Linked DNA regions of Astyanax mexicanus. The protein of the gene in region 1 purifies or fractionates together with the protein of each later gene. This does not show direct contact. Links are inferred from orthologs where the notes say so. Each region holds a gene or a part of one and is shown on either strand. Other genes may lie near its edges.

Region 1 (11,873 bases):
TGAAAGAACTCACCATAGTCAGACACCAATCAGCTTGAGCTCAGCTTAGCATGGCATGTGTCTAATGTTCTAACAGCTTGCTTCCTAACTGTTCCAAGCTAAACTCGCTATTATGAAACTTTGTTCTTTATTGTCTTTCTATACAGATTATCGTATATCTTTTACTTGCACTGAACCACAAGGACCATACTGTGTTGGTTTAGAATAAATACACATACTATTACACACACTTACATTACATTGTTTTGGTACGTAAACATGAACAGGTCTGACATAAATACAGCCCAAGGCTTCACTGCAGTCCAGAGTCCACTGAATAGTATCATATTTAGGAAATAATAAGTAGGAAATTCCCCGCTGATAACAGAGCCTAATGTGATATGACTACACTAAATGCATTTATTCAGTGTCACCACTCCCTCCTCTGCAGGCCTTTCATTCTTGAATTCAGACCAAAGCTCAGAATGTTGTTGTGTTATACTGATCAGCAAAAAAAAAGCCAAAAATATAATAAAAAGGACCAATATTTATTACATTTTTAATACCAATATCCAGCAAGTTGTTATAAAAGTATCCATTTTTCAGAGTGTTAACCTGTGGGTAGCTATTTTTTGTAACCCACCGCTATGTTAACCAGATGAAAACCACACTTTCACTAATGAAACACAAAGATTGTTTAGTGTTAGTGTATTATAATCTAGGTCAAACCATGGCTCATTTCATTCTAAATCGTATTATTCAGTAATTACAAGAAAGCCAAGGAAACATGACTATGTTTAGGATAAAATGTACTTCTTAGGCTCATGCAACACAACATGAATTAGTAGGTGAATTGGTCATGAGTAGTGAGGTGTTATCTTGTAAAAGACTTTGAACACAGGCCAACATGCTCATGGCATGGCCATTTGAATTGTAACAGTTTGAGCGACTGTTAGCAAGTGCATCCTGAGCATCCTGATCATCCTGATAGCAAGTGCTAGAAGGATGAGACGTTCCATATCCAATGTGCAGGAATTTAAAATTCTTATATATTTACATTTAACATTACAATTGTATTTATTTGTGCATTCTTCTACTATTATAAAAGTAGGCTCATCTGAGCTTTGTTCAGAATGGTTTACTCATGAATCATTGCATGTAGCATTAGCATGTAGCATTAGCTATACAGTGAACTGTCTAGAAATGGTGGAACCATCAGTTAGATGTTTTAAGAAGTTTATTTTGTGTACAGCAAGTAAAGATCTGGATCCAGATGTGTTGACCAGGATTAGACTTCAACAACTGTTTCTTTCAAATCACTAATACTAAAAAATACCCAATACCTCTGTGTAACATTAATAGCAGTACGCAAGTTACTTTAAAAGACATCATACAGACAGACAGATACGGAAACAGAAATTTCCCCGGAATTGCAACAACCATAATTTGACGATTTGCAACCACTTACAATCTGCCAAAAAACACAGAGACATTCTGCTGGAGTTTCTAAGAGTGCACGGTGTACCCAGTAACCACAAGAGAAACAAACTAAAATCAGCTGATGAGAAGCTGTTCAGGAGCTGGAATGCTTGGCTGCAGTGCAGCATGCACAAGCCTAAACAAAATCAACAGTGGCCAAAATACTAAGACATTAAAGAGCCAATACCAAATAAAAAATAACTTTCACTTTTTTTTAAGTTTGATGTTGTACATGGATGTTGTTAGATAATTAAAATTGTACAGTTTAATATTTTCAACACCGAAGTGCTTCAGTATTAAATGTGGCTCAAGACAATTTGTCCTGCCAATCAGAAAAAGCTCATTTACACAAGTCGGTCTTAAAGTCACAAGAAGTCACTTGGTTAAACCGCAGACGCTTGTTTTGCTCAGTGTTAAATATTACAGAGCCTTCTTTCTGTATCCTGTGTTTATTTTATCTGCATTAAAAACAAATTTCTAAAAGCATACGGATATGGGCGGAACAGAATAGCTTTCCTAGAAGTAGTGGTATACTATCGCCATGTTTGTTCTCATCTGAAACTTTAGACTTTTAACCCTCTAGGGAATGTATTGCTTAACATTGATACCAATGCAAAACTTAAAATGTACATGTTCATTTTTGTATGTTAAGGGGCTATAATGTGCATTGTCACTGACCAATGAAAAACAAGTAGTTTGCTACATAGTTTGAACTGTCCTTCACTCTGCGTCACATTTCTTGATGAATGGACTGATATATATTCTCCAAAATGACCTGAATTACAGTCTTTACACTCTTTACAGATACTTCCATTGAAGGTTAAGTTGCAGCCTTGGAGATACATGTCTTTTATTAGACAGCAATGATATGAGTCTTCCAAGGTAGCTAGTAAGGTTGTAAAATGGCCATGTGATGTTGATTTAAGGGTGTTTTTGGTACACAAACTTTAGCCAATACCATTATAAATAAATCATTTTTTAACAAAAGAAAGGAATTCTTACATATTCAGACACACAGATCCCTCATGAGCCATGGATTAGGCCTTTTTCATGAATCCATAAATGCATGAATCTAGAGGCCTGCTAACCCTAAGGCAAGTGTTCAGGCCCAGCCATAATAAAACTCAAAGCACAAGCACTAAGGCCAAGTGGCGCTCCTGCACAGCTAGATTAACTAACAGGCAAAAAACATGATAGCTTTACAGGCGAAAAAGAGCGCAGAAACCTGGTTAGGTTACAGCTGTCACGACCACATCGTGCATCACAATTCAGACAACTGTAGTATTCTTTATTATTATCATTACTGTATTTTTTTTTATACTAACTACTGCCATTCTTAAGATGTTTGCTTGAGAGACAGCCATCAGTCACTCTCAGGTGTGGCATGCAGGTATCTATCTATCTATCTATCTATCTATCTATCTATCTATCTATCTAGATAGATAGATAGATAGATAGATAGATAGATAGATAGATAGATAGATAGATAGATAGATAGATAGATAGATAGATAGATAGATAGATAGATGAAAATCTCACACACCGAGACACATCGCCCTAGCTAAAAGTTAACCGACTGTTAACTAATAACTAGCTAGTGAACTGCTTGCTGGCTGCCTAGTGATGCTGAGAGGCATGGGCTAGTAATAGGATTCGTATGAATGGGGCTTAGATAAGTATCTTGACTTGGATAGACATACCATAGAAGTAGTTCAATCAAAAATTTAAATCATTTAAAAAGAAAAAAAAGAAAGAAAGAAAGAAAGATTCTTACAACGAGACACACAGATATATGCGCCCTGTGTTAGGCCTGATAACCCTGAGGCAAGTGTTCAGGCCCAGCCATAATAAAAACTCAATAGAAAACAAGCACTGAGGAAAAGTGGCGCTCGTACACACCTAGCGTTAACTAACATGCTTCAATAACCTATTAAGTCAATTTTACTGGCGAAAAAGAGGCAGAAACCTGTTTAGGTTATAGTCATTTAACTGTCACGTTCATGTCTAGGTTAATTATTCGCTTATTCTGAATGTGTTGGCTTGAGAGATTCAGCCAGCAGTCACTCTCAGGTGTTTCGTACAGGTGTGGCGTGCAGGTAGTTCGTTAGCTAGCTTAGCTAACGTTACTAGATATAGCTAAAAGTTAACCGACTGTTAGTTAGCTGTATCACTTAAGATAAGTAACGTTATATAACTAATTATAGTTAGAGAAGTGATTAGCGTTAACTTACCCTCAGTGCGGCCAAGTCGATTTCGTCCAAACTCCGTGTGGGCGCGTTTTCAGACATGGTTCAGCCAAGTTTGTAAAGTCCGTGTCCAGTACAAAAACACGTAGATTAACTAGTTAGATTACTAGCTAGATGGTGAGTGATATATTCCCACAAGCTGAAGATCCTCTTCGTGACTTCTCCCCTTGATTCAGCGTTGAGGCGAAAACGGGAGAGGCGGTTTAGAAAAACTTAAGACGTCCCATCTGGCTCGGCTTGACAGCTACAGTGGACGATATTCAGCTCGCTAGTTAACTATCGCTAGGTCAGATTAACCAGTTGGTTAGCTTGCTAGCTAGTTATAAGGCTCGACAGAAATAGTTAGCTTAGCTAACCTGGTTAACTACAGCTCTGTATTCTGTTCGCTAGTTAAGTTAACTGTTTGTTGGGTTTGTTTTGAAGTCTCTGAAGGCCAGCTGATGAGACTGTTCCCCGAGCTGTCAAACAGAGCTAGCTTGATTAGTTTACTAGCTAGTTACGCGATAAAAAGCTAATTTTAGTTAGCAAGTTTGCTATCCAGCGCTGTTAATCCTCCTCAGACTGCGCTGCATTACACTAACTACTAATACATTAGCTCCAACGGTCACTCCTCGCTGGAGATCCGATCACTGCTCCTGTGCTGCGCTCCTCCTCACCACTCATTTTGGCAAGCCCCCCCGCTCTGCTGCACCTCACCAGATAAAAAAAAACAGGCACAGAGAAAAAAGAGCAGAAGGGAAAAAGGCCGATATGTGCAGCGGCAGGCGTGTTATAGTCTCTAAACTCCTCCAAATCCCCCTTTTTATTCCTCTCTCTCAGCGCCGAGTCTGAGGCGCAGGCTAAAGCTAGCGCTAGCCCAACGGACGAACCGAGCTACAGCTAATAAACAACACGGCGCTGCATCAGCCGAACCGCCTCGCGTCTGTCCTGCCCACGCAACACACACTCAGGCTTATTAAACACACACACCTAAACACTTAGGATCCAACATTTCCCTCAAAAAAAAACGATAACCTGCATTAATCGTTTAGCCCAGTCTGCAGCGCTGAAATGTTCACTGTGTTCTCCTCAAACAACACAAACTTTCACTCCGTCCAGCCCAGTTAAAAAACGTCAAACGGTGTTTTCAAACGGGGTTTTCAACTTGAACCCTTCCTCTCCAGAAAACCAGGCTCGTCTGAGCACGAAGCGTGTCGTTTAAAACATGTAGCGCTAGCTAACCCTCGCTAACTAGGCGGATTTAAATGCGTCCAGCTCCTAACTTCAGCTAGATAAATCTCTGTAGGTGAAGGAGGATCAGGCGCAGTTCTGGCGCCTCCACAAAAGCAGCAACTTCTCCCTCTCTCTCCCTGGTCGTGTTTTGGTACGGTCCTGTTTTTCCAGCGCTATGACGTCTCTCCTCTGCAAGAACACACAACACTCTTTCACTCCTTCCTTCTCTTTTTTCTGCTTTCCTTTTATTCCCCACCTCTTTCTCTCTCTCTCAGCCGGGAGAAGGAAGCGCTACGGTACCAGAACAGGGCCAAACTACCTGCTGTGGCTGGAAACTGTAGCAGACAGACACACAGGTGGGTGAAATGAGAACGTAGAGCCTTATAGATACAATAATAAATTGTTAGCTCAGTCTAACAATTAATTAAGTTTAATAAATAATTTCATCAGTTTTATAAATTGTTTTCTCAGTTTGATAAACAATTCAACCAGTTTAATACATTGTTAGCTCAGTTTAACAATGAATTCCCTCAGTTTGATAAAGCATTTCATTTAGTTTAACAAATCATTTCCTCAAGTTGATAAAACATTCCTTCTGTTTAACAAATCATTCCCTCAGTTTCATAAATTGTTCCCTTAGTTTAATAAATTGTTCCCTCAGATTGACAAACAATTCCTTCAGTTACTTAAATTGTTCACTCAGTTTAAAAAAAAAAACATTCGTTCATCTAAAATAAATGTTCCCCCAGTTTGATAAACAATTCCTTCAGTTTAAAATTGTGTTACCTCAGTTTAATAAATAGTTTTTTTCAGTTTAATAAACCATTCCTTCAATTTAACAAATCATTCCCTCAGTTTAAGAAACCATTTACTCATTTTAATAAATTGTTTCCCTTTCCCTTCCCTTAGCTTAATGAATTGGTCCCTCCATTTTACAAACTCTTTTATTGATTTAATAACTTTTTTTTATTATTATTTTAATAAACAATTCTCTGTATACACACACAAATATAATATAATTTGTAGCTTGACACTTAAAGTGGTTATAATATTCAGACACAGAAACACTCAAACATTTTAACTTTTCAAGTCTTTATTTATGACTGACATTGTGAGATTGAGTATGTGAATAACCCACTTTAGTTATCACTTAATAACAAGTAGTGTTCTTTAAACAATTAGAAGAACTACACAGAAGAAAAAAAAACAACAAAAGCATTGACTAAAAGTAGTACTTCATACAATTGTACAAATCATGTAAACTGTTATAGGTGCATATATATTTGAACTTTGTGTGGAAAAGTTTTAGATTAGAAAAAAACTTGTCTGAAAGTTGTCTGAAAATAAATGAGGTTGTAATAAAAGCAAAAGATGGGAACACTAAATACTGAAAAATGAAAGTTTTTTTTCCGTTTTAGTATTGTATACATAGTATATTGACGGTCAGACTGTGTTGTAATTTTATATAGTGTATATCCAATGATCAAATATAAAATATAAAAAAGTTCATATTTAATATTACAATTACAGCACTAAGCCTTCCTATTCAAACTGGTAAACAATACCCTGTACAGAAACTACAAATAATCTGAACATGAGCATACTAAATGGTTCTCAAAAAAGTCTCAAACCAACAGATTGCCTAATGTGGCTGGAATGTAATAGAGCTTGTGTGTGTGTGTGTGTGAGTGTGTGTGTTTTGCCTGCTAGCTAAAAACAGGTGCATGCAGGTGAATGCTTATTCCCCCAAAAAAAGAAAAAGAAAAGCTCAGCTGTGAAGTGGCTTCACCCTTAAGGACCCATAATAGCAGTACAGCATTACATAAGCAGTTTAAAGTTGTTTTTAAAAGCTGTGTTTGCTGCTGTTAACAGAGGCACTGGCACAGCTGCATATGCTGTTTTTTTCCAACAGCGAGTGTGTTTACATGTACTAAATAATCTCAGCAAAATCTTTTTAGCAATAATTTTACACAATCATAATCTGTTTGTCTCTAAAACAATATATTAGTCATTTTTGCAGCCGAATATATGAACAAAACCACTGGGGCATCTGCTCATTCACTGTTTATTCTGAAATTAAAAGCAATTGGTACAATTTACAGTAGCTTAATGCATTTATTTGGACAAATATATGGTATATACAGTCATATATCCAGTGTGGGGCAAAATGCATTGATATTGGTGATAGCACAAATGGACTAAAATCAGCTGTATATCTATTTAAACTATTATTAAAAGTTTTGTGTCAGTGAACTTGCATATTTTTAATGTCAACATTTAAACATTTAATCATTCGTCTTATTATTTGTAGAGCTTCTACATTGATCATTGCTTAGACATATTTAAGTTCTTTTAGCTTAGTGTTTTTTTCAATAGTAGTGCAGTTGTTTAGATTGGGTTAATTTAATTATTTTAAAGCTTTCTATACATTACCTATAAGTGGTTTATAATTATAAAATCTATGGCAATTAGGCTACAATTTACATACAATTTAATAAATTCAAAGCATGTAACTACTAAACTGTGAAACAGATACCACCATGAAGAACCTGAGTATTGCCTGGGCAGCCTCGCTTTTAATTGATACATTTTATTACAGCCAAACAAGGTTAAAACAGTCCATCTTGAATTTATGTTGAATTTAACAGTCATTTAACATTTAACAGAATCACTTGCCAGAAAAATATTAACTGCAAATTCCAATTTGCATATAAACTCATGGACTAAAAACATCCTGGACTGCTGCTCAGGCAGATATGTAAATAATTACAGCTGTGGTCAGTTTAGACATTGGGCTTTGCCACAAGAGGTGATTTCAGCAGGATAATGCTGGCCCACACACAGTAGAGACTTTTAAGGAATGTCTCTACCAGACTGCAACACTTTGTGCGTTTATGGAAGCAGCTGGGATGCCAGCTTCAGCAACAGGCTAATGTTCTGCAGGATGCTACATGCGTTCTGTATGCCTCCATGCTCAACCATATCTCATCCTATGTTCAAGTTAGAGGCAGTCCAAAAGGGTACCTAAAGCTTCCTCCTACAGTTTTTCTCAATAAACTAATAATCCTTTTACTCTTATATTTTATTCACATATATGCAATTCTGGAACAAAACTAATTTAATTTAAATTAATTTCTGAATCAGTTTCCCTGATTTTGCTATTTATAGATATATGTTATAGTAAAATAAACATTGTTGCTTTATTTTATAAACTACAAACAACATTTCTCCCAAATTCCAAATAAAAATACTGTTATTTAGAGCATTTATTTGCAGAAAATGAGAAATGGCTGAAATAACAAAAAAAGATGTAGAACTTTCAGACCTCAAATAATGGAAAGAAAATACATTCATATTCATAAAGTTTTAAGAGTTCAGAAATCAATATTTGGTGGAATAACTGTGGTTTATTGTGATTTATTCACAATTATCATGCATCTTTGCATGTTCTCCTCCACCAGTCTTGCACACTACTTTTGGATAACTTTATGCCACTCCTGGTGCAAAAAGTCAAGCAGTTCAGCTTGGTTTGATGGCTTGTGATCATCCACCTTCCTCTTGATTATATTCCAGATGTTTTCAACTTGGTAAAATCAAAGAAACTCATCATTTTTAGGTGGTCTCTTATTTATTTATTTCTTGGTGTGTTATTTTGTGTCAGTAAGTGTAATTCTGTAATTTGTCAGTTGTTCGGTAGATAAATAAATCTGCTTTGTGAACAGTTCTGCACATGTGCAGTATACATGTTCTGAATAACCCAATTAATTGGACAAGAGCCAGGTGTCTAATTTGCTTTTTCATGACCACTTGAGTCATGTCGTGTTGCTGCCGAAATCTGATAGGCCTGATGATAATGATCATTTGTCTACATGTAAACACGCTCTCTGTTTCCCTATCAGCACCCCTACACCCCTCTCCCACCGACTAAAAACGGAAAGTGGAACCTTCTGGACCACTGACAAAAGTATTACATAACCATAAATACTTGGTTGCCATGGAGACATCGGAAGGGGGAGGAGCACAATGATTAATGCACACCACCACCCCCTCCCAAAAAAAATAAACATCCAAAATCTCCTCTTCTAATGGCACCCTCCTCAATCCCTTTTTTCTCAATATTTCACATTCACTCCCTCAAAAAAAAACAGCCCCGCCCCCAACCTGAACCCCTGAGCCCAATATTCCCCACTTTTTACTCCCCATCATCACCATCACCACCATCACCTCATCCTCCTCTCACCGCTGCATTTGATAACATTTTATTACATTCTCTTTCCTCCTATTTCTTCTCTTTCTCCCAAAGCCGCTGTTTATCTAGACTTCCTCTCCATCTCTCTCGTTTCCTCTCTCTCTCTTTCTTTTTCACTCGCTTTCTCGCGGCAGCCGCGACCCCGTCAGCTCTTTATACCCGTCACCATAACAACCACAAATGTTCTGACAGATTTGCTGGCACTGCACAGAGAGGTGCAGCACTAGAGAGAGAGAGAGAGAGAAAGAGAATGAGAGAGAGAGAGAGAGCGATAGAGGGAGAATAAGAGATATAGGGAAAGAGGCAGAGAAAGCAATGCCATCCACCTACGCGCCTTTGCAATAATAAACGTACGTTCTGTTCGTCTCATTGGAGACACTCAACTGTGCTCACCTCAATCCTCTCAAAAACACACACACACACACACACACACACACGCGCGCACACAGACACTTCACACCATCCACCATTTTACAAAACTACAGCAAACTGAGACTAGTGCAGATTAGCTTGCTAACTTCTAACTGAGCCATTTTAAAAGGCCCTCACAGCTGCAAGTCCTTCGTCTAAAAGCACCATGATAACACACACTTCCTTTGTGAAGTGCCGGATGGCCTCCATCCAACTAAAGGTGTGAAAATGCTTTACAATGCATTCAATCTGAAGGTGCTGATTCAAATGCATAGGCTTTGGAATGTTTGTCTTGAAAAATATTTAGTGAAGTATGTGCTTGTTTTCTATGGTAAAAACAAACTCTCCGGCTATTTTTTAAGTAAAAATCTCTTTAAAAAATAGCGTCATCTACTTGTCAATCATAACATTGATTTTTTGATATACTGAGTGAATTTGCAAAAGATTCATAATCATAACGTGATTAAAATCATGATAGTGTAGTGGATAATCAGAACCAAAAGTTCGGTTCTGCAACAACTCATTTTATGAAGACTATGAATTAAATAGAATTGTGTCATTGCAACATCTGATGTGCAAGATCTCATGACGTATAAATGACATTATAATTTACTGAATAGTGTAGTAAAGAATCATAATGAAATAAAATCCTAATTTGGCAAAATCTTCCCATTATGAACTGAATCATTTCCTAAAGCACTTGAATTGTGCCACAGTTCCATTTTGTGATATAATGATAATTCTGGTTTCCAAAAGAACCAGAATTAATGTTAATCTAAATAGATAAATGTGAGATTTTGTGACACATCAAACTGTGTTTGGAAGAATCAAAATCATATTCTGGTGAAAAGATGCTGAATTCATTATGTATTGAATAATTTCTTAAAGATTTTCAAACTAATCGAATTGTGTCAGTGTAACATCTAAGATCTAGGTATCTAAGTGACCTATTATATTTGAGTTACCAAAATCTTAGATCTCATGACAAACAGAATAATTTCTATAAGAGTAAATTAATCAAATCATAGTGTCCTTAAACCCTAAAGGATTTCCTAAAGAATTCCAATCCTGATCTAGAACTGAACTGTTGCCTAAAGAATCTGAACTGAACCTTGGTAAAATTTCATGCTGCACCAAATGGTTCTCTAAAGAGTCATAATAGTAATTTAATCTAATGTAATCTGACGTAAGATCAGAGATTTACATTCCTAGCTTTCTAGAGCAGATAGGAAATGGCCGAGTACATGCTGTAGCACACTTCCATGTGGTTAGACTAATCTCTCTCCAACCACTAACCCATACACTCTATCACATTAGCACAGGCGTTTTGGTCCGTTATCACACTGAACCCACCGCTTCCAGTTCACTCAGTAGAGGGCAGATAATGAGTGTTTATGGGTTCAGATTGTTTTCTTTAATCCGTGTCTGCTTATCACACCATAACCTCCCTGGTCCAGGCCCCACTACGTCCACACTTCCAGAGGGACCATTCTCTCTTTGGTGCCGGGCGGCGGGAGCAAGATTTCCTCGCACAAAAAGTGCAGGGGGAAGTGGACAAGAATGCCCCTGATGGCCTGAAGCTCACGGCTGGCCTTCTCTGGGTCCATCTGGGCGAGGTTGGGGACGCTCACATGCTCCTGCAGCTCACGCATGTTACGGATCGAGTCCAGCGGAAGACACCTGAACACCTGCCGGAAAGAAGCACAGCACAGAATAAATGATTAAAATGATAGTTCAGGAAAAAAGTCTACGTTAGATTAAATGTTTTCTCCTTACTGAAAACTAAATTGGGCAGAAAGAAAATACATAATTGATGCACAACAAAAATAAAAAAAAAAATGCAGCATTTACATTATAGTATTAAGGATGCAGAGATATATGTATATGGACAGATATATATATACAGCACTTCTTATTTTACCAAATTATTTTATATAATTTATTTTAATCAATTTTTTTGATTTTATCAAATTAAAAACCTCTGAAATATAATCAAGTGGGAGATGGATGATCACAAGCCATCAAACCAAGCTGAACTGCTTGAATTTTTGCACCAGGAGTGGCATAAAGTTATCCAAAAGCAGTGTGTAAGACTGGTGGAGGAAAAAATGCCAAGATGCATGAAAACTGTGATTTAAAAAAAAAACTAATATTGATTTCTTAACTCTTAAAACTTTATGAATATTAACTTGTTTTCTTTGCATTATTTGAGGTCTGAAAGCTCTGCATCTTTTTTGTTATTTCTCATTTTCTGCAAATAAATGCTCTAAAGGACAGTATTTTTATTTGGAATTTGG
Region 2 (11,061 bases), on another chromosome or scaffold:
TCTTTCCAGTATTTAGATGAGACCTAGGTGAGATACAAATTTAACCTAATCTGACTCCATTTTATAGATAAATAAATAGCTGGGGAAATTGTAATTCAGGCAAGATTAAGGAGATAAAAGACAAGTTAAATTTTTAATGGAGGTGGGTAATAAACTTTTTAATGTAAATTTAAAAATATTGAAGAGATGAAGATTTTGAGATGATGTTGCACTCCAAATCGGCTGGATGCGACCCATTCTTAAGTTTCTTTTTTTTTTTTTAACCAAGACACACTGAATAGCTTCCAGAGGTTAAAGAGTCTATAGGGGTTAAACATTCGTGAATTTTATTAGGTTTCTCCAGGTACGCCACTATATAAATAGCAATATGAGAGTAATCCACTGCATGCAATCACTCAGGTTTGCTGGCAGTGTAGTGGATGGATGCCAGCGTTTTTGACTGGCTCCATGTCTAGGTTACCTTCTGCTTAAGATCTGCCATCGGTTATTAGCCCTGCTCCGATAATGTTGCATTTTGTCTGTTCTCCATGAATCTAATCAGAAATAATTACATCTTTCTGACTTTTTCCTTTTTACTGACTGCCCACCTGTCCGGCCCGACATTTACGTTTTTGGAAGTCAAGTTTTTCTGTCACCAACTACAGATCAGTTTTTGCCACCTGCTTTAGACAAGTTGTTCAACTCTTCACTACTGATTACATTGAAGTTTATATGAACTCCACCTAGGAAATATCTATCTGCTTCTACAGCTGGAGTTTATTTGTATAGCGCTTTTTACAACTGATTTCTCAAATCAGCTTTACAGAAATGTTATCGCAGGATGGAGAATCAGGCAAAACATACAACACAGAACCTTCAGCAAGCAACAGAGGTAAGGAAACATTTCTTTAGAGCTGGAAGAGAAAAAAACACTCAGAGGAACCAAGGCTTGCATATAAGGGTGGGACCATCCTACCACTGGTCAAACAACTTTAAAGTGAATGTTAAATGTCATTATACATCCACACAGATCTAATATTTCCAGGTGAATAGCCACACCAGCAGTGGAAGCAGTTACAAAAAAAAAAAGAGTTCATACAAACTTGGATGTAATCTGTAGTGGAGAATGAGATGATCTGTGTTGGGTGACAGTCAATAACTCAGAGGAAGCAGAACAATGGAATTTGTTTTGGAATATTCACCTGAATATGGGTCAATGACGCGACGCCTACATTTGGTGTCCAACTAAATTTTTTTTTTATTAAAAAATGGTTTAAAAGCATAAAAAGTTGTTATAGATATGTAGTCTCTCTCCCACATTTGTACTTACTTTTACTTATCAAAAATAATTAGTTAATCACAAAGTTTTGGTTATTTAAAGTGTCAAAATATCATGTGGTGCTTGTCACTTCTTGTGCTTTTATATTTAGTTGATGACATATACACATAAAGTACTATATTTTAGTACTTTTTTGGAAAATATTTTAATGCAATTTAAGTAATTGTGAGTCAAAATTACAGATAATGTTTAATCTTTGTAAAATATAATAAATAAATTATAAAATAAATAAATAAACCAAGCATGTCTTTTAACTTTTATGTATTTCTTTACAACTGTTAATCTATTTTATCAGATGCCGCTGTCAAGCAAGTAAAAACCACTCGCCATAGGCAGCGTGTTAATTCTAATCCTGCAGCAATTAGACTTGTGTGAGATTCTGGCCAAAAAATCAGAGTCAACTATTACTTACTATTGAGAGCGTTCAGAAATATGATGTAATGATTCCAGGCAAATTAACGATTGTTAGAGGCATCTTAAAGATTCACCAGGTTTTGTCTTCGGATGCTGCACAAATTAGTTATAGGGAGGTGAAGAGCTGGGCAACATGGCCCCAGAAATTTTTTTAAAATTTTAAAAACAAAAAATAAAACTACAAATGATAAAGAAATGGTTAAAAACAAGTTTTTATTTATTTTGTTTTTACTTAAATTTCCCCTTAATGGTTAAAGTGCAACCATAAACAAGCAAAAAAAACTATTCTAACAATTGAGAACATCTAGTAACTTTTAGAAAGTTTTTTCCAACATAGTTTAGGTACTGACACAATGCACCCTCAAACCTGGTTTATTCAATTCTAAAATTAACTGTTCCTAACAAAGCCATAATATTCGCTGCACTTACAACACATCATAACACTTATGTTTTACACATATTACAGTGTGATGAGAATTTTGTTAATCAAAAACAAAAAAAAACTTTATGAAACATTGGTGTTTATGACAAATCTTTGATATTTTAATTGAATCTGCTTTAAATCAGGGCTCAGAGTTGTCCAGCGGGCTAAGCGCTGCCATTATGATCAGGAGATTGCCAGTTCGAATCCCAGTCATGCAGCTTGCCATCAGCTGCTGGAGCCATGAGAGAGTAAAATTGGCCTTGCTCTCTCTGGGTGGGTACAGTAGATGGTCCTCTTTCCCCTCATCACTCCTAGACTGCGTCTGTGAGCTGATGTATCAGAACTGAGTCGCTGCGCTTTCCTCCGAGCGTTAGCGCTGTGATGCTCCATCAGCAGCAGCTCAAAAAGAGGTGGAGTCTGACTTCACATGTGAGAAGGCATGTGCTAGTCTTTACCCTCCTGGTGTTGGGGCATCACTAGTAATAGGGGAAGTCTGAATAAATGAGTTGGGTAATTGGTCATGTAAATTAGGGAGAAATTGGGAAAAAAATAGAAAACAATTCTGGTTTTGTATGGAATTCTATTTTTGTATTTATTTATTTTGTTGAATTTATTGTTTATTGATCTCATTAAATAGTTAAATAGTAATGATACGATACTTTATGTCATTTGGAGCGACCACTCATCATGTGGTGCAACCTATAATAACAGTAACTACTAAATTTTAAATAAAGTATCAATTTTCTGTTGCTGAAATATTAACTATTGATACTGTATGCTGAAGTTAATGGTATTTTAGAAAACATTTTAACAGTTTTATTGGATTAACAGAAAATTACCCTATTAACTACATTAAAGCCAGTGATTGTGACACTAAAAAACAAAATTGAGATCCTTATTTACAAAAACTAAAAAATAATGCAAATACTTTATTAATAGACACTTTATATTAGTGGGAATTTGTAAACTAAAAATGAAGTATATTATGGCAATGTATTAATTTTAACATAAATCACGGTCGCACCACATGACATTTTGTAAGGCCAAGGCCAATTCTTCTAAATGAAAATACACTAAAATAACTCAATCTGTTTGTGTTCACAGCATTTTAATTGCAACAGATACAAAATTTTTTTGTATTTTAAAATTGGCATGTTGAAAATCCTTTGACCCATATATTAAACCTGTGTATAATTACTTAATTTTTAAGATTGCTATATGTATTGTAAAAAGCGATATATAAATAAATTTGATTTGACTTTAGTAAAGTGCAATAATATATAATGTGCTGCCCAACCCATCCTGACTTCCTCTGTCTGAGAACTGGGTCAAGGGCAGATAACTCCTATTTCTCCCTCTTTGCCTCCAGAGATATTTCATCAAGTAGAACAGCACACGTCTTAGAGATAGGAAAGAATTTGGGATCACACACCAGGAACAATGCATCTCCTAAATTTTCCAAGTCTTAATGTTTGCCAGTTTAAACATCATGTAAGGACACATGTGCACTGAAATGTCTGTGGTATGGGTTAGGTAATTTACTGAAATGAATGGCTGATGTGAGGGTGTGGTGATACAGTAATATTTTTACAGTATTTAAATATTGGTCTTTTATACATGTGCAAAGTTCTCAGTGTCTCTGTTTAAATGTGGAGCTAGTCTGAGCTTGTTCATAAAAAAAATCCAAATGGATTGGCTAAACGCGATGTATTTGATCATGCTGGAGGTAAAAGTTGGTGGGCTATCTGACAAAAGTTGGTACTTGTTATTATGTTTTACTACCCCACACGTTCAGTTCCCCTTTTAGGAAGAGATTGGACAACAGGTAGCGTTTTTCGTCCAACATGAAACGGCCACCTTCTTCGGGCCCCCAATACTGAACCATTTGGAGCATTTCCACCAAAAAAAATAGGCTCTGGAACCTGAAAAGTTAAGTTTGCAGACGGAACCAAAGAATATTTTCAGCTTAAACCCTGACAAAATATGTGGGCGTATCTACATATGCAGGAGCCATTGTGCAAAGACCTCTGCTGATGAAGTGGTCTGTGACGTATCCTCTCACCCACTAAAACTGGCGCAAACATGGGCTGGTTCACTGAAAAGCACCAAGGCTCTTATAAGCTTAAACAGAACCAGTTATTGTGGTCGAAAAAAAGTGACATTCAGGTGTGCAGAAATCTACAGGTGAGGTAAAGCATGCGTTGGAACAGGAGCCACGCCTACATGAAGAGAGATGGAGGGCATGGCAGGATTAATTGATGTATTAGCCAACTAACAAAATAATCATTAGCTGCAGCTCTAAAACGGGCCTTTGCAAGTCTGCATCGGACGGCTTATATAGATAGGTGCAGTAACTAACTGTGTTCCAAAAAGGGAGCCTGAAAGTGATGAACGTGTTCATCTAAATGTGCCACAGCTCCTTACTCTGGGCGGAGGAGCACAGCCACGGTCCCTGCTTTACTACAGACTCCGCCCACAAACCACATTACGTCATCGCTCTTTTTGCTCGCCCTGGATTTACAACCAGATCTCAAACTGAATCTCAGGAGTGGTTCATCGGTCACGTGGCAGCGCATTTTCTGTTGATATGAGCAGCAAACCAATATACCTTACACGCCTAACACTACACCACTAACAGCACAGTTACTGTAGCACAGGGAGGGAGCGCATGTTACAAAGAAACTCAAACAAAAACACAGTACAGGCCAAACCTTCTCACACACACACCAGACAAATACGCGACACACGAAACAGCATGAACATACAGCTGTACATTATTATACTTTCACTAATACGCCAACAACCCGCAGCACCAGCCCTGGGTTCTGACTCTACTGTTACCGCTGCTCCTCACACATTCCTTCAGTCCTGTTGACTCTTTAAAATAAGAACATAAATTAATGTAAAAGTTACCCTCAGCTCATCTCGCTCCGCTTCCCAGCGGTATTTCTCCGCTTGAAAGCGCCCCCACTCATACTGGATGAAGTGTAAAATCCCGGGCAGCGACAGGCCCGCCTCCCCGTCCTGCTGTTCCCGTGGCTGGGAGGACCCAGGCATGGCCCCGGCCGCCGCTGATGGAGCCGCGGCGGTGGGCGCTGCAGACGGCGGACCGAGCACAGTCTTCGGCCCGTTGGGATTTCGCCCAGCTCCGCTACCCGCAGTATTTTGATTCGTCCCCCCGCCGAATCTTTCCGCCTCCATTACAGCGTGTCGCCAAATCACGGAGAAACTGGAGTGAGAAAAGGCTCGAGGTCCCCGTTCCTCGCGCGCTCAAACGGAGCCGTTTCCTATTTTCCTTCGCGACACGGACAAAACCGAACACACAGCCCGAGCCTGCCAAATACTGATCCCATGCACACCGCCGCGCCCTCCCCCCTCACTCCATTATTCCTTGCTGTGGTTAAGCTCTCGAGCGCACCCTCGGGACGCTTCCTGCTATATTGTGATATCCGCCGAGCTTCCTGCGCTTACTACCCACAAAACACTGAGCACGAGACTCTGCTGGGCCCGCACCCGCACCCGCGCCCCGCACCGCCCGCGCGCTCCGCATGCTGAAACAATGACCGGCGCACCGGTGCAGATTCAGCTCAGAGCCTAAAGCTACTCTGGATTTAGATGTGCACTGTGTGACTGATCGACTGTTGCGGAATACAGAGAATCTGAACGGCCATGTGTGGCCGTGATAGACCTGTAAGATCGAGCTAAATGTTTGGTCTAAAGGATAGACACAGTGACCATTATTTGTGTCAATGTACAACCAGAAACAGGTAAGACAGTGTTCTTTTTTTCAATCGCTACTTGTTTGTTGTTACAGCATATACATTACAATCGGGTTTTTTTGTTTATTTAAAGGGCGATCTAATGCGTTTATGCCTTTCTTTGTGTGTCTTACAGTCTCTGTGGTGCAAAAGATTGGATGAGCAAAGGCAGAGAGATAGGATGTCATAATCCACCACCCGCCTACTCTGAAAACTTTTGTTTCTCTTGTACAACTACCCCGGAGTCAATGGGTCAATTCATTTTTTTGTTTATTATTAATGATATTATGCATCTAAATACAACTCACAAATTCCTCACCACGTTTTTGTTTGTTCCTGACATGTTTAATATGAGAAAAACACTAGCAAAAGACCACTCTGGTCTTCACGTTTGTGTGTACGTCACATAGTATAATTCTAGTTTTCATTGTATATTATATAAGTGTAAAACCTGTATAGTGAAAATGAGAATCAGTTTCTGTCAGGCTCTGCTAACAGGAGCCATTGTGCTGAACTTGTTAATACTGTATTTTGTATCCCGGGCACAGCAGCAGATGATTGAGAAGCGCATGCAGGGAAAAGGCTCAAAGAAAGTCTCTCTATCTGCGTCTGGCCTAGGAGCTGCTGGTGGGCTGGTAGTGGGAAACATAGCAGAAGCCAACAAGGTAGGAGGTGAAGTAGGTCTGCGAAGTCCTCGTATGACCATCCTGCTTCGGGAGTTTGAAGACTTTGAGAATTATGTCGCTGAATCTGCACGCTCCTTCTTGCACCAGAGGCCAGAGCTGCCATTCCTGGTTGTGGCTGACACCCTGCCTTACCCTCCTCTGGCTCTGCCTGAAAATGCCCGTTTGCTGGTGCTGTCTCCGAGTCCAGACCAGCCTCCTCAAGCACACCGTCCAGAATTTTATGTACAGTCAGAATTTGTACTGCTAGTGCCTGACGGTGTGGAGCTGGATCACGGGCGGCAGCTTGAGAGGCTAATTCGAGAGCTGGAGGGTGAGGGAGGTGGGCCAGTACGGCTGATTGCAGCCCCGGTGCTGACTCGTGCTGCGGTCCAGTGTCTTCACCTGCAGGTGAGCCTAAAAGAGTGGACAGCAACATACTCCCTTGGGGCACTGGGGAGTAGTGGCAGTGTGTGTACTGCTTTGCATGGTGATGCTGTAGTCCTCATTCGTACTGAAGACTTTTTTAACCTGTCTGACCCCTTAGCACGCCCCCTGCTATCTTCACTGTTTATACAGACTGCACTGCGAGGCTGGAAGGTAAAGCTGTTGGAGGGTCCATCATTCTCTGCAAGCCACCGGCCTCTTTTCACTTCGGCACACAACCAATGGAAGGCGGACAGCCGGCTTAAAGAGGCTGCCAACCAACTGATGCGGAGCTTCGGTCTTAAACGCTTAGTGTGGCCTGATGGAAGGGAACAGTGGTTCGGCTGTTCAAAGGAGACAGCACGATGTTTCGGCACGGTGCGTGACGACACACCCGCGTATCTTTACCTGGAGCGCTGGACCCCACCTTGTTGCCTGCGTGCTCTCAGAGAAACAACAAAGTATGTCATTAACATCTTAGACAGTTCTGGTGTGCGCTATTGGTTGGAAGGGGGCAGTTTGTTAGGAGCAGCCAGACATCAAGATATCATCCCCTGGGACTATGATGTCGATTTGGGTATCTATCTGGAGGATGTGTCAAATTGTGAGTACCTGAAGAACCTAGACTCAGGGTCACTGGTGGATGCTAACGGGTATGTGTGGGAGCGGGCAGTGGAGGGAGACTTCTACCGCATCCAGTATAGTGAGGCTAACCACTTGCATGTGGATCTTTGGCCTTTTTACCCACGGAATGGAGTCATGACCAAGGACACTTGGACTGATCACAAGCAGGATGTAGAATTCCCTGAGCACTTCTTGCAGCCACTGGTTCCCATGACATTTGTGGGCATTACTGCTTATGGACCCAACAACCACCGTGCCTTCCTGGAGCTAAAGTTTGGGCAGGGGGTCATTGAGAACCCACAGTATCCTAACCCTGCTAAAAAAAGACTGGATAGGAGTCGAATGTGAGGTTGTGATTTATTTGTGGTGTTAAACTTTGAACTAAAGAGAACAGTTTAAAATCTTAAGGTTGTCAAACGTCTGAGTTTATCTGTTTTATACTGTTGTCATGCTTAAGGATTTGAAATACACAAACATTCCCACAAAAAAATCAAAAACGATCTCCAAAATGTTTGTTTTAATATGAAAGTTTAGAAAATCAGTACGTACTATGTGACAGGAGAAGGCTTTGGTTAAATGACGGATTACAAAATACTTGCTTTAGTGGATATAAACATCATATGAGTAGTAAGCTGTGCTCATGCTACTAATTTTAGTTTATTAAGTTATGCTAAAAGTGTCGCACATTTTGTGTTTTTGTAATTAATACATGACCATTGTCTTTTAATAGCTTAATTTTTCAATAGTTCAGTAATTGGTATATTATGAACTTATTTGGGATTTTATAATAGGAAATTATTAAAAGTATTAGATAAAGAGAGCTGACAAATGTATTTCAATTTCAAAAAAGAGCAAACATTTAGTGGGGAAATTGTATTATTTTGACGTGAATAATGTAGATATTGCAATTTATTTGTCTGACCACAAGGTGGTGGCATGCTTCTGTTGTTTTACTGACTGGGGTCAGGGGTACTATAATGTACTGTTATTTTAAACATTAACTTTCTGCAAAATATGCATGCTATATATATATACACACAGAGCTATAGCTTACACCTAACCTGCCATTAACTTGCATTTAATTAAATATCTGTTTACTTCTAATCATAAACCTGGTCCTAACTGTTACTTAACCTCAACCAGAAACAACCTAACCCTTACCCTGCTCCTAAACATAGTCCAGGCTTGAAACCTGACCCTGTTTTGCCAGTTGTGTTATAAATATCTGGATAATAAATATCTTTTTAAAACAATTTTAATGTAAGTAAAAAAAAATGCAAGTTTATTTCATTCAAGTTTATATGCATTTTACCTCTTGGAAGACAAAAGCTAAATTAAGCCCTTTGACATTGGGAGAAGAGTGTTTCACACTCCTCTATGCAGAAATCTTTCAGCTGTGTGCTTTTACCTTCATCTATCTTTTGGCAGATGGTCTCTTACATTTTCCTGAAGCACCCTCTAAAAATAAATCAAATGATCATGGATCCTATGATTGAAAAATATACCAGGTTAAATTAAGTGTATTATATTTTTTATAAGAATGTAATTAGAATGTATACAAGGCTGAAGTGTGCTGTTCAAATGATGTGAGATCAAACTGGAGCTGCAAGTAAATCTTCCTTGCTGGAACTTTAATTAGGATTTGATTCTGTGTCAGATCAGGCAAAAATCATGCCTATAAAAAGACTTCCTAAACATCCTAATTGCTACTGTGTAATAATTTTAGTAATTTTATCACTGTTGGGTTTTCTTTGTAAGTTTGCCGTCATTTTTATAACGCAATGTATCATTCAGTTGTTTACCAAGTGACTTATGATATGGTGGTCTTTGCCTGAAGCCAGTGTCATAGATAAATCTCCAGTAGAGCAATGATACATTCAGACCCACACAGAAATAGTTCACTGAAAATAGAAGCATATTTTGCAATAGCTGTCCTATTCCCTTGACTTACACATCACTGTAAACAGGTCCACTGTGCTGGAAAGGAAACCCTACAAGAAAGGACTGGGGGCAAATGAATGACATTTGTTTTTTTTACATGCAAAAATATTTTTGCCTTACTGAAAGATCCCCAATAAACCCCACAGGTCTGTATAAATGTAAGTAATGTATGTTGTATATAAGTAAGTAATGTATGCTCATATTATAGCTATTAACCTCTTGTGTGAGTGGACCAATCGAGACTTTATCTTTGAATCGCCACATTTATTCTAACCAAAGTCATCCCATAAAGCTTCTGACTATAAAACCAAAAGAAAAGTTAAACTTCTAGTAATTTTCTTTTTTTGTTTAGTTAGGTGAGTTAGATTCTTAAATCCCAGTTAATTATTTTGTTTGTTATTTTGGCTTAGTCCATTCTGACATCTTTTGAGTAATTTTTGAGATACGTGTAAAATGTAAATGCGGACCAAATAGTAAATAAAACAACTTTGATTATTTAAAACATTGCCTTGTTTTTGTTTTGTTTTTTTATGTTATGGTCTTGGTGAACCCCGGACTGTTCATAAAATTGAGCGGCTAATAAAACGAATAGCAGAGCTGAATCCGTCAGAACCAGTTAACAAAGCACATAATTAAATATAAAATACTTTATTTAAACCCAGTAACAAGTACATTCTGCATAGTCTGTAAGATAAATCTCTTTCATTTCAGCCACAACAAAACCATCAGCATTTACATAAATCACTGGCATAATGTTCTCACCACAAAATATTGGAATGATTAGCCTCCAACTGCATAACTCTACTGCAGATATATACACTCTTGACACTTCAGATATTTCCAACTGAGCACAGAAAAGTTGATCATGTATGACACTTCATAAAGGCAAACTAAAGTCAACATAAAAACGTGAAAGACAGACAAATAGACTGAAAGCATACCATACACTCAATATCTTGATATACACTGATTAACTACTGATTAACAACATTAAAACCACATCCTTTTCTAAACTCACTGATCATATATTGCACTTTGTAGTTTTAAAATAACAGATTGTAGTTCTGTATCGGTTCTGTTCTCTGTATACTTTATTATTGTGCTCTTTTCACCCTGTTCTTTAATACTCAGAACCCCACAGGAGAGAAAACCACCACAGAGCAGCTGTTATTATTATTTGGGTGGTGGGTCATTATTCTCAGCACTGCAGTGATTAGCACTGATTAGCATGGTGGTGGTGTATGAGGTGTTAGTGTGTGTTGTTCTGGTACAGTGAGTGGATCAGATACAGCAGTGCTGCTGGAGTTTTTAAACACTGTGTTTAATCTCTCACTCTCCTCCACTCTGTTACACACTCCTACCTACAGCTGCTCCACCCTGTAGATAAAGTAACGTCAGAGACAGAAGCTCTGAATCTGTTGCTGCACAGTTTACAGTGTTCATCAAACTCTAGTTCTTCATCAGTGGTAGGACTACAGTGTGTCATTATATAAC

What was found.
Region 2: the proteins of mink1 (region 1) and strn4 purify together in Homo sapiens (affinity purification with mass spectrometry; 3 studies listed by BioGRID and IntAct, with this or other methods). This does not show direct contact. The link is inferred for Astyanax mexicanus from reciprocal best matches to the Homo sapiens genes MINK1 and STRN4.

The regions. Positions count from the first base shown.
Region 1 is NC_064408.1:25,112,360-25,124,232, forward strand, and holds the start of mink1 (misshapen-like kinase 1), read right to left. Parts: upstream 5,151-11,873; 5' UTR 3,747-5,150; coding exon 3,690-3,746; intron 1-3,689. Other genes in the region: pld2 (phospholipase D2), read right to left, coding at 11,040-11,264. UniProt on the Homo sapiens protein: Serine/threonine kinase which acts as a negative regulator of Ras-related Rap2-mediated signal transduction to control neuronal structure and AMPA receptor trafficking.
Region 2 is NC_064425.1:35,548,588-35,559,648, forward strand, and holds the start of strn4 (striatin-4), read right to left. Parts: upstream 5,550-11,061; 5' UTR 5,358-5,549; coding exon 5,070-5,357; intron 1-5,069. Other genes in the region: fukutin-related protein, read left to right, coding at 5,862-5,923, 6,051-6,166, 6,533-7,974. UniProt on the Homo sapiens protein: Calmodulin-binding scaffolding protein which is the center of the striatin-interacting phosphatase and kinase (STRIPAK) complexes.